Linked DNA regions of Caenorhabditis elegans. The protein of the gene in region 1 interacts with the protein of each later gene in a pairwise test. Each region holds a gene or a part of one and is shown on either strand. Other genes may lie near its edges. The genes, in order: F53F10.1 and mig-5.

Region 1 (6,136 bases):
TTAAACCATTGTGTAAACCATTGGATGTTGAGAATGACTCTGAAGAGCAACTACATTTCGGAACGATTCTCGGCCCAACTTTGGATGGAACCGATGTTGCTCAAAGACTCATGAAAAGCCGTCAATTGCGTGTCGGCGAGTGGCTCGTTTGGGAACAAATGGGCGCTTTCACAATTCCTGTTGACAGTGAGCATTCGGTGCCGCCTGTGTATTACTATTCTGGAAAAGAATGCTGGTGAGAACTTTTGAACCTTGAGATTTTGAAATTAAATTTGAATTATTCCAGGCAAAAACTAATCCACAAAGATGAACAACGCCGTTCTCCATCGCCAAGTGTCAGTGACAACGAAGATATTGGAAGTGATGGTGAAGGTGGCTACGCATCTTCATGTGAGGATTCGGAGGCGGAGATGGCTTTGGAGCCATTGATCGAGGATTTGAACGAATTCTTTTGATTGTTCCTAAGACTCCCCTGCTCATCCTGGAGACACAAATAATATTCAAATATTCCCCATTTATATTTCAAAAACTTTCTAGGTCATTTTTCTTCTTTTAATTCCTATTTTCTATTTCTCGAAACCTGTCCGTGATCCAATCTGTCTTTTTCAAACTAAAAAATCTTGATTCCAATTTTTTTCTCTCGATTTCTCTTTTTTTGCTCTTTCGGATTGTGTTATATTCCTGATTTCCTGAATTTTTTCCTGAAATTTCATATGTTTCCTGACCACGAAATTTGAATTTGAATTCGAATTCCTTTGAAAAAAGAAATAAAGGTCGAAGAAGTTAAAATAGTTTATTTTATTTACTCAAAAAAAAAAGAAACATTTAGGAACTGCTTGCTCTTTTTGAATTTTTTGCCGCCATCAGCTCCCTCTCCATACTTTGGATTCGTAAACGGAGATCCTGGATTGTCTTTCCATCGGTTTCAATCTTCTCTCGACACTTGTTCAACTCATTCGCCTGATCCTTCAGGAATTCATTTTCAGCCTTCAATTCTTCATTTATATCGGATTTAGTCGTCTCAACGGGCGGCTCATCGACACTTGGCTCACGAAGAACTGCTTCAATTTGAGCCGCCGAATAACTTTTGACTAGAATTGATGGAGGATCACATGAAATTGAATGAATTGTCTGAACAACTGCATTTCGTTTGGTTCCGTCGATTTCTGGTTTTTGAGAGATTTCGAGTTTTGGCTCGTCGGATTCCGAGTCGACGTGGTACAGTTGTTCCGCTAGAAATCTCTTTTCTTCCTGAAAAAATGTTTAAAATTTAAAATTTAGCAATGGGTCCAGGCACGAATGAAATGTTCCAACTACCGTACCCGCAGCAGTTATTCTAGCAATTTTCGCTGAATTTCCCATTAAAACTATTAAACGCGATGGTACGGTTGCTGTAAAGTTCGTATTTATAGTACCAGGACCTAATTGTATTATGGAAACTATTATGGGAACACCGAATTCCGAAAATACGTATTGCGCAACATATTTGACGCGCAAAATATCTTGTAGCGAAAACTACAGTAATTCTTTAAAATACTACTGGCCCGATTTTGCGTTGTTTTTTTCTCATTTATTGGTGAAAATTTTTAGAATAGCATCGAATTGAAAAAAAGCACGAAAAAGTACACGAAAATCTGTGCTACAGTAGTCATTTAATGGATTACTGTAGTTTTCGCTACGAGATATTTTGCGCGTCAGATATGTTGCACAATACGCATTCTCAGAATTTTGTGTTCGCGTAATATATGAATTGCGCAATAACATGCAAGAGAAAAAAGAAGAAAAACCTACGAGGAGAAGATCATAATTGAGTCGTAATGTTTCAGCTTCTTCACGAGCACGATTCCTCTCGTCTCGAACAGCACTGAAAATTAAAATTTCCAATTTCTTTTAACAATTATCTTTAAACAAAACGTTTTTAGGGATTCCATAGGAGTTTCAGAACGTCCCACAGAACGAAGATTTCTACGTGGACTTGATAAACTAAGCAATTTATCTACAACTTTTCACCCCAAAATTTTCTGAAATTTTCCGAAATGAGTTCAACTCTCCACTGCGGGAAAATTTTTTTACAAATTTTTTCCACCCAAAAAAAAGGGAAACGAAAAAAAAAGTTTCTAACTCATTTTATGAGGGTGGCCGAGTTTTTTTAGTTTTCGCACCCATAAGAGGAGAGAGAAATAATAGGCGCCCCCGTACCGTCTAACTTACCTCCATCGATTCCTCCAGTCTGCTGTACAACTAGACCACCATCTCATGGTTTTCTCCATTTGTGCAGCGCGATCTCTTGCCTGAAATTGAAATTGTTCTAGTCACATATTTGAACTGACAAATTCGTACCTCTTTCAGTTCACCTAACCTAATTCGTTCACAAATGTCCCAGTCTGTGTGTTGGCACCGTCGGACAGCCCATGTACGGAGAAAGTGCATATCGGTGTCTGAAAATAATTGAGGATTCAGGTAAAGTTATTTGAATGGAAAAAAGTGCATGCGCCTTTAAAGATATTTAAGTATACAGGACTGTCATTTTTTGTTGGTATTTTGGAAAAAAACATAGTTTGGGCAAACGATTTTTTTTTCCGGAAAACCGGCAATCCGGCAAATTGCCGGAATTGAAATTTCCGGCAAATCGGCAAATTACCGTAATTGAAATTTCCAGCCAATCGGCAAATTGTCGGAATTGAAATTTCCAGCAAATCGGCAAATTGTCGGAATTGAAATTTCCGGCAAATCGACAAATTGCCGGAATTGGAGTTTCCGGCAAATCGGTAAATTGCCGGAATTGAAATTTCCGGCAAATCGGCAATCCGGCAAATTGCCGGAATTGAAATTTCCAGAAAATCGGCAAATTGCCGGAATTGAAATTTCATGCAAATCGGCAAATTGTGGGAATTGAAATTTCCGGCAAATCGACAAATTGCCGGAATTGGAGTTTCCGGCAAATCGGTAAATTGCCGGAATTGAAATTTCCGGCAAATCGGCAATCCGGCAAATTGCCGGAATTGAAATTTCCAGAAAATCGGCAAATTGCCGGAATTGAAATTTCATGCAAATCGGCAAATTGTGGGAATTTAAATTTCCAGCAATTGGGCAAAGTGCCGGAATTTAAATTTCCAGCAAATCGGCAAATTGCCGGAATTGAAATTTCATGCAAATCGGCAAATTGTGGGAATTTAAATTTCCAGCAATTGGGCAAATTGCCGGAATTGAAATTTCCAGAAAATCGGCAAATTGCCGGAATTGAAATTTCATGCAAATCGGCAAATTGTGGGAATTTAAATTTCCAGCAATTGGGCAAAGTGCCGGAATTTAAATTTCCAGCAAATCGGCAAATTGCCGGAATTGAAATTTCCAGCAAATCGGCAAATTGCCGGAATTGAAATTTCCAGAAAATCGGCAAATTGCCGGAATTTAAATTTCCAGCAAATCGGCAAATTGCCGGAATTGAAATTTCCAGCAAATCGGCAAATTGCCGGAATTTAAATTTCCAGAAAATCGGCAAATTGCCGGAATTGAAATTTCCGGCAAATCGACAAATTTCCGGAATTGGAGTTTCCGGCAAATCGGCCATCCGGCACGTTGCCGGAATTGAAATTTCCAGCAAATCGGCAAACCGGCAAATTGCCGGAATTGAAATTTCTGACAAATCGGCAAACTGCCGGAATTGAGATTTTTGGCAAATCGGCAAATTGCCGGAATTGAAATTTCCGGCAAATCGGCAAATCGGCAAATTGCCAGAATTTAAATTTCCGGTAAATGGGCAATTCGACAAATTGCCGATGTGCCGAAATTGTCGGAAAAACGACAATTACCGATAAATTTCGGCGAATTGTGGGTTCGTACATTTATTTTTTTGAAATTTCAGAACTTTAATTTCAATCTGCGAATTTCAACCCGTGAATGTTCCTACATCTAAGCAAATTCTATGAAAATATCTAAAGAAAACGGCAAAAAAATTTCCAAAAGGCATAGTGTTTCCGTCCTATGAAAAAAACCCTCTCAACATTTCCGGCAAATCTGCGGCAAATCGGCAAATTGCCGAAACTGAAAATTTCCAGCGAATCGGCAAAACCGGCAATTGTCGATGTGCCGATTTTGCTGGGAAAAAAATGTGCCGCAATTCCCGCCCACTGTTGATTCCGATTTTATTTGCTAGTGGAAAAATGGATAAAATTAAATTTAGAAAATGTATGAAATTTAGAAATCAAGTTTCGATTTTAGTTTGTCTTGATTGTGAAACACAAAACGGGCAAATTTATTTTAATTTCGAGAGAATAATTCGAAATAAATGGATTTTTTTGCAGATTGTATTAACTAGATACATATCAATTTTTTACTCCAAAAAATTAAAATTTAAAACTAACCATTATTATCGATATATCTATTCCCAATGGAAGCAATGGAGTCGGCCATTTGGAAGATTTGTTCTCGAGCCGAAATGTGTATAATAGAGAGGAGCAAGAGTAGTGACCGGTTTGAAAGGAAGAGTGTCAGCTGTTATAAGAGATGTGTAATAGGATCAGTCGTTTAGAGTTTCGCAGACGAGAAAAGACACCTTTGAAGTGAAAACGTCATTTGGAAAAAGGCTGAAAATTTTCTTCCGGTGAACTTGTTGTCTGGAAACTCGAGAAATGAACTTCCGGTCCGATGCTAAAAAACAACAAAATCAAAGATTCAAGAATTTTCAGATTAATCTCTCCCAAGAGTTCCTGGCGTTGCTCAGGCTCGGCAGCTCAGGCAGAGAGGCAAGCATTAAACGTTTTCCGACAATTTTTTCAAAGATTTTCTGCGAAATGATGCAATGATTGCAGAGTAATACAGGTAGCCAAGACAAGCAGGCAGGATTTTATGCATGCTAGGAATAGTCATGATCTTTCCAAGCAGATACTAGGAATTTGTATATATGTATTTATGACTGGTGCGATCGGAACAAAATAGTAAAAAATAGTAGCTCTTTCAATAATTATTCATTCTTTCAAACACATAATTTGAGTAAACACCGTTTTCATTTTTCTCTTTTGGTTGGTTGGTTGGTGGTGGCAATCTATCGATCCTATCCTTTACGAAGAGACTTCGGAGTTGGCTTGTACATGACGAAAGTACAGACCATGTTCTCATCGACCTATAATATTCAATTTTCACAGAGAAGTTATAATAAAGAATCTCACCTTCATTGTTGCAGCCGAATTGTCAAACTGTCCGCAGTAGTGAGGCGCCGAGAAAATGGTGACCATCTTCTTGGAGGCGAAGAACTCGTAGCCGTCTTGAACGACTTGATGTGCACGAGCAACCAAGTCGATGTCAAGTCTCGAGCAAACGTCAGCAACAACATCCTGTCCAAAGACATAAGAGACTCCACGAGTATTTGCCTGCCATCCCTTCACCCATTGATCCGGATCAGCCCACAACAAGTCGATTCCAATCGATGGATTTGGTGGATCCTGAGGGCGAGGAAGTTGACGGAGTTGATCAAGAGTTTGGAGGTGTGGGGAGAGGCCACCATGCATGCAGAGGATGCGGGAACCAATGAGTCCACAGAGAGGCATCCAGTTGAACGTGTCCTGTAAATGGGGAATTGAGAGATTTGTTTCATTATTACGCAGCGAAGTAAGTTGACAAAATGCTTTCTGCTCCCCTTACCTGGAAGATTGACCAGAGACGAGTCGACTTGTAACGACGGTTGCACTCCTCGTAGAACCCATAGACACGATTGATGGCTGGGCACTCGTGGTTTCCACGAAGCATGAAGAAGTTCTCCGGATACTTGATCTTGAAGCAGAACATCAAACAGATTGTCTCAATATTCTGTCTTCCACGATCCACATAATCTCCCAGGAACAAAAAATTGATATCCGGTGGGAATCCATTCTTGTCAAAGATGCGCAAAAGGTCCGAGTACTGTCCGTGGATGTCTCCGCACACGATGATCGGCGGCTCAACCTCCAGGAGTGATGCTTGGGAGGCGAACACCGACTTGGCCACAGCGCAGCACGTCTGGAGTTCCTGCTCGTTGACAGAAGTTGTCAGTCTTCCACCGGACATGCCGACATTGAGCAAACGGCTCATCAAGTTATCGACATCGATTGTCGCTGTCATTATTGTTCTTCTTTACTGAAAAATTGTTGGCTTTATTGGC
Region 2 (5,139 bases), on another chromosome or scaffold:
TCCATTTCATCGAGCATCACATCGTTCGCTCCACGGAGGATAATGCTGCTGGCAGTACGAGATTTCGGTCCCTTGATGAGAATGAGCTCGTCGTCACTAATTCTTTCTTGAACAATTTCATCGGCATGTCCAAGAAGCGAGGCATCGAAAGCTTCATCTCCTTCCAAAGTAGCCAAGGAAACAGTCAATGTGGCTCCAGTAGCTTTGGCAATTCTCTTCAAGTCTGATTTCTTGCATCGACGAACAGCCATAGCTCCAGATTCGACAAATTGCTTCAAGCACAAATCATCGATACCTCCAGTTGTAAGAACAACGTTGGCTCCGGCTTTCAAAATTTTATCAATGCGGCGTTTGGTAATATCGAATTCTCTGAAAATTCCATAGCTTAAAAAGAAACGAATAGTTTCAACTCACTCTCTGCGAATAGCCTCAAGCTTGGCTGGATCTTCAACAACGACTGAAATACCGAGGTGCATCTTAGCCTTCATCAAAGAGAAATCGAGACATGCGATCTTGGCATTTTGAACACGAAGTGGCATGGCCTGACTGGCAACTGTGCAATTGAGTGCATATCCTTTCACCAAAACTGATTCGCGAGCGCTCTTTCCGTGGGCCTTCAGAACATTGACTGCATTGATAGGATAAGTGACTTTCCCGTTATTTTCCACACGAACAGCTTCCGCGGCATCAACAACCAGCTCTCCGAAGAAATCGGCGTCTCTGAAAAATCAATTTTCTTGAAGCATAGACAACACCAAACTCACGGTCCGATAATCTTACTGCTCATGGAAGTTTTGGCAGCGTTGACAACTGATTGTCTACCAATCGAGTCGGAAGTGAATGAGATGTTTTCACTAATGTACTTGACGGCTTCCTTGCACGCGAGACGGTAACCATTGATAATAGTCGTCGGATGAACTTTTTGTTTCACAAGCTCATCGGCTCTCTTCAAGAGCTCAGCCGCCACAATAACGACAGAAGTAGTTCCATCTCCGACCTCCTCGTCTTGCAGCTGTGCAAGTTCTACAAGCACTTTTCCAGCCGGATGCTCAACCTCGAGTTGTTTCAGAATTGTGGCTCCGTCATTTGTGACAATGACATCTCCAACATCATCGACAAGCATTTTATCAAGTCCGACAGGGCCAAGAGATGACTTCACAATATTGGCGATCGCAACTGCCGCGGTGACTGCAATTAATTAATGTATACTTATATTGAGCTTTCGGTGTTACCATTCTGAGATCTGATGCCTTGTCCAGTAGTTCTTTTACCGGTGAGGGCAAGAATGGAATCTCCAGCTGATGCCATTACCTGAAACACAACCGTATTAACTTAGCAATAGAGTAGGACATTCGATATTGAGTCAAAAAGGGGCTTTGAATAAGCACTCAAAAATAAAAATATACGTAAAAATGAAAATATTTCAGTAAAAATAAAAATGCTTCCAGAAAATCGGGGATCCCTTGAATTCTGAATCAAAATTAAAATTCTTGTAGAATATTCTCAGAGCGCATCGTACTTCATGCATGCTAGAAGGGTAATCGTGCCGAGACCCAACACCAGCTGTCACTAGGGCGTATTTGCAACATTGTTCCCACCCGCGATTTATTGCCGATAAATTAAAAATAAAATTGTTTCCGCTAGTCCTTTGCAAACAAATTTGTTTTTTTTGTTTCCTCTTGTAATTTTTATAAATATTTTATTGGTCTATAATTTAAAATATTGAATTCAGATTTCTAACATTTATGGAGCCGCCATGCACATCAGACTGCAGCCAGATAAAAGTAAGAATTTTGATCAGAATTGTTTTTTATTAAGCCAGTGATTAAACAGAAATAATTTTCTTCCAGGTCTTCTACTATCTCGACGATGAAACGACTCCCTATGTTTCTGTTATTGAAGCCAGAGAAGGAGTAGCGACGCTTGGAAATTTCAAAAATTCATTCACCAAGCGTGGATATAAGTATTATGCGAAGGAACTTGACCCGGATATTCAACGGTGAGTTTTGGCTTTTTTAATTTTTGTAATTATTCTGTACTGAAAAATGTTCAGAGAAGTTAAAGTCGAATTAACAACTGATTCGGATCGGCTGCGCAAATCCCAGAATGGATTTTATGAGATTTTTCTCGTTAGCACTCCAGGATATGGAACTCTTCCTCGAAACAGTGGAACAATGACGCGACCACAGAGAACTGCTCTAGATAAGGTTCGATTTCTGTTATTTTCAAAAAAAACTGATATTTTAAGCGCCGCCGACGAAGTGCAGACTTTGACGCGACTCCGTACTCTGATGCTAGTCTTGCTCCGAGCACCATTGTTAGCAGTGAGTTTTTGCTATTTATGTACTCTTAAAAACCTGTATGAACGTTTTTCAGGAAGAGCAGGAGAGCATCTGGCAGAATTATACACTTCAAATTCAGAGGATCCGTATCAATATGACGAGCATACACGTCGAACAGGAGATGATTCTTCGCTCTACGAACCTCTCGCTGCTCGTGATATGAATAAGATATACGATGACGATAGAAGAAGGAAAAAACAAAAGAAAGAAAGATTCAGAAGACCGTATGTTCCAAGTACTATTAGCTCAGCGACGGAATCAAGTGTTAACAGCGGCCTCCCTCGAATTCTGGAAATTTATCTACCAATGAAAAATGTTCCATATCTGGGACTGAGCGTGTGCACAATTGATGGTCATATATTCGTTTCCGAAATTGCACCAGAAGGTGCCGTTGAAAAAGATGGACGTGTGAACGTTGGTGATCAGATTCTTCAAGTTAATAGAGTATCCTTTGAAGAACTCAGTGGGCCTCAAGCAGTTCGTTCGCTCAGAGAAGCTGCATCCTCCAAAAGGTATTTTTCTACGCATTAGCATTAATTTTTTTTAATTTTTAGACCAATTACTCTTTATATCAGTAAGTTTGCAAGAGGTGCCCCAAGTGAATATGATGATCCACTCGCGTCCATGGCGTCTGAAACGATGCCCCTCGACGTTGGAGTTTGGGTAGAAACCGCTGTGTAAGGGTACCTCGCAAGATTTATTTTCTTAATTTGATACTTACAGGCAGAACACTGAAAAAATGAAAGCTCTGGGTTTGGATCCACAGGAGCAAACGGCAACTACAATTGATGACGGAACTCTTCCATTTACATCGACAGCTTCTGATGATGAGGAGCGAATGCTTTACGATCAACGTAGAAATGGAATTCCAAGAGCTTTGATTGAAGAAGCAGAAAGAAAACGAGAAAATGAGCAAAATGAAAAAATAGAGCAACTCACAGAAATGATTGATCCCATTATTGTTGTTCGTTCTATGGCTCGTCCGGATTCAGGATTAGCTGTCAAAAATCGAAAATGGCTGAAAATTTTGGTTCCAATGTCTTTTATTGGTGAGTACTGAACATTCAAGTATTAGGATCCAAACAATCAACGTTTAGGCCGAGATCTAGTCGATTGGCTCGTTGATCACATGGCTGATATTCATAATCGGAAGAAAGCTAGAATCTATGCTGCGAGATTGTTAGCTGCTGGTCTTATCAGACATGTCGTCAGCAAGTTGACATTCACAGAAAAGTGCTACTATGTATTCGGTGATGGAATTCTTGGCAATGATCGTAATTCCACGGACACCACTGGTACGAGTGGAACTACAATGCGAGTTGAAGCAACTACTGAAGTGACGTATGTTGGCTCACCAGCACCACATGCTCTGGCAGCACGAGTTGGAAGAAATATTCCTCATCGATTAGAAACCACTACTCTAAGCCCAGTTGCTCATGACCAAACATGGCTTCGAAGACGTCGAGATTGTGAGAGTCCTATGACAAATGATTACGCATCGATGGTCGGAGAAAGCCAAATTGGAATGAATCCAGTCGGAAATTATCATGTTTTTGGGACGAAAAATAATCACCGTCAGGTACCGGCACCTTCTCAAGTGACATCCTCAAGCTTGACAAACGGTGAGAAAATTAATCGTTTCTATAGGGTGCAGGAGTTAAATTTGAAGCAAATATTCATTTCAATTGATATAGTATTTGCTGTTTCTTGACTACTGTACCCTTTGTATCCAAATGACTTTTCACATAACAGTATTTCCCCAACCAAATTAGTTACAAATTCCAGGAAGTGGTGGCTTAGGAGGCCCTCCGCCGACTCCTCTATCCAGTACTATGGTTCTAGCAGCTTCTCCGATTCAGTCGCAGAACGCAGTCAACCACGATTTCGACGGGGAGAACAGTAGCAACAGCAGAACGCGTATTTTACGGACTTAAAATTTAAAACTCATTGCCTTTACCGATTCTCGCCTTAATTCCCACATGCTTTATTAATATTTAAAACTATGCCCTGTTTTCATGTATTTCAGTAAGACTAACGTTTTCATTCATTCATGTAATTTTGAGTCTATTTATGAATTATTTTAAATTTCTTCATGACGATGTTCACTTCGAAAAACGATGTGTGATGAAGAAGACTTGGACAGCACCGAAGATAGTTTTAGACATCCATTCCGAGTAGTATGCAGTATCCTTCGTAGTATCCCAGGAGCACATGTTGGCCGTGCAAATTGCAAGATTATCGGTTTTTGCAGAAATAGTACAATGAACCAAAAACTTTTTGCTTCCATTGAGCTTCACTAAATTATCCGAAATTGTTTGGATCATCTTGCTCATCCAATCAGACATTTTGAATGGAGAATATGGAGTTTTACCAATTATTGAATCAAATGATTTTTGAATAATTAAATCAATTTCTTGTTCTTCGGCATTTGAATAGACTTTCTTTTTGAGTTTCTTATTTTTCTTTTCAATCAATTGTCTCAAAAGCTGAGCGTTTTTTGATTCAATTTGCCGCTTTGCTACAGAAGAAGTTGTAGAAGTGTCTAAAATTTCAAATGATGTTGCATAATGTGACAAAGAAAACTAACCTGTCATTTTGAAACAAGGAATGAATGAAATAATTAAAGTTATGCGATAAACATTTGTTTTCTAAATTTGATATATATATTAGAATCTGGTATAAATTTTTTTAACAGTGCGTGTAATTAGAACACGCTCTGAAGGCGAAGTGTTTAGTGCCAATTCAAAATATTACTTACAATTAGACCCGAAAATTTTGCGCTTTTTGTGCCAAAAAC

Evidence for each region.
Region 2: the proteins of F53F10.1 (region 1) and mig-5 interact in a two-hybrid assay, tested with the Caenorhabditis elegans proteins (2 studies listed by BioGRID).

The regions. Positions count from the first base shown.
Region 1 is NC_003279.8:3,833,336-3,839,471, forward strand, and holds F53F10.1 (Coiled-coil domain-containing protein 102A), read right to left. Parts: upstream 4,473-6,136; 5' UTR 4,414-4,472; coding exon 4,365-4,413; intron 2,439-4,364; coding exon 2,341-2,438; intron 2,292-2,340; coding exon 2,212-2,291; intron 1,865-2,211; coding exon 1,792-1,864; intron 1,252-1,791; coding exon 826-1,251; 3' UTR 780-825; downstream 1-779. Other genes in the region: azin-1 (Antizyme inhibitor 1), read left to right, coding at 1-235, 287-455; gsp-4 (Serine/threonine-protein phosphatase PP1-delta), read right to left, coding at 5,054-5,122, 5,169-5,561, 5,641-6,096.
Region 2 is NC_003280.10:8,181,615-8,186,753, reverse strand, and holds mig-5 (Segment polarity protein dishevelled homolog mig-5), read left to right. Parts: upstream 1-1,730; 5' UTR 1,731-1,745; coding exon 1,746-1,784; intron 1,785-1,850; coding exon 1,851-1,999; intron 2,000-2,053; coding exon 2,054-2,207; intron 2,208-2,248; coding exon 2,249-2,324; intron 2,325-2,376; coding exon 2,377-2,854; intron 2,855-2,896; coding exon 2,897-3,019; intron 3,020-3,065; coding exon 3,066-3,391; intron 3,392-3,439; coding exon 3,440-3,964; intron 3,965-4,114; coding exon of another isoform or gene 4,115-4,127; coding exon 4,128-4,276; 3' UTR 4,277-4,431; downstream 4,432-5,139. Other genes in the region: cct-1 (T-complex protein 1 subunit alpha), read right to left, coding at 1-369, 415-720, 765-1,188, 1,233-1,308; dylt-3 (DYnein Light chain (Tctex type)), read right to left, coding at 4,445-4,884, 4,930-4,936. UniProt on the Caenorhabditis elegans protein: Plays a role in the signal transduction pathways mediated by multiple Wnt genes. Functions redundantly with other dishevelled family members throughout development.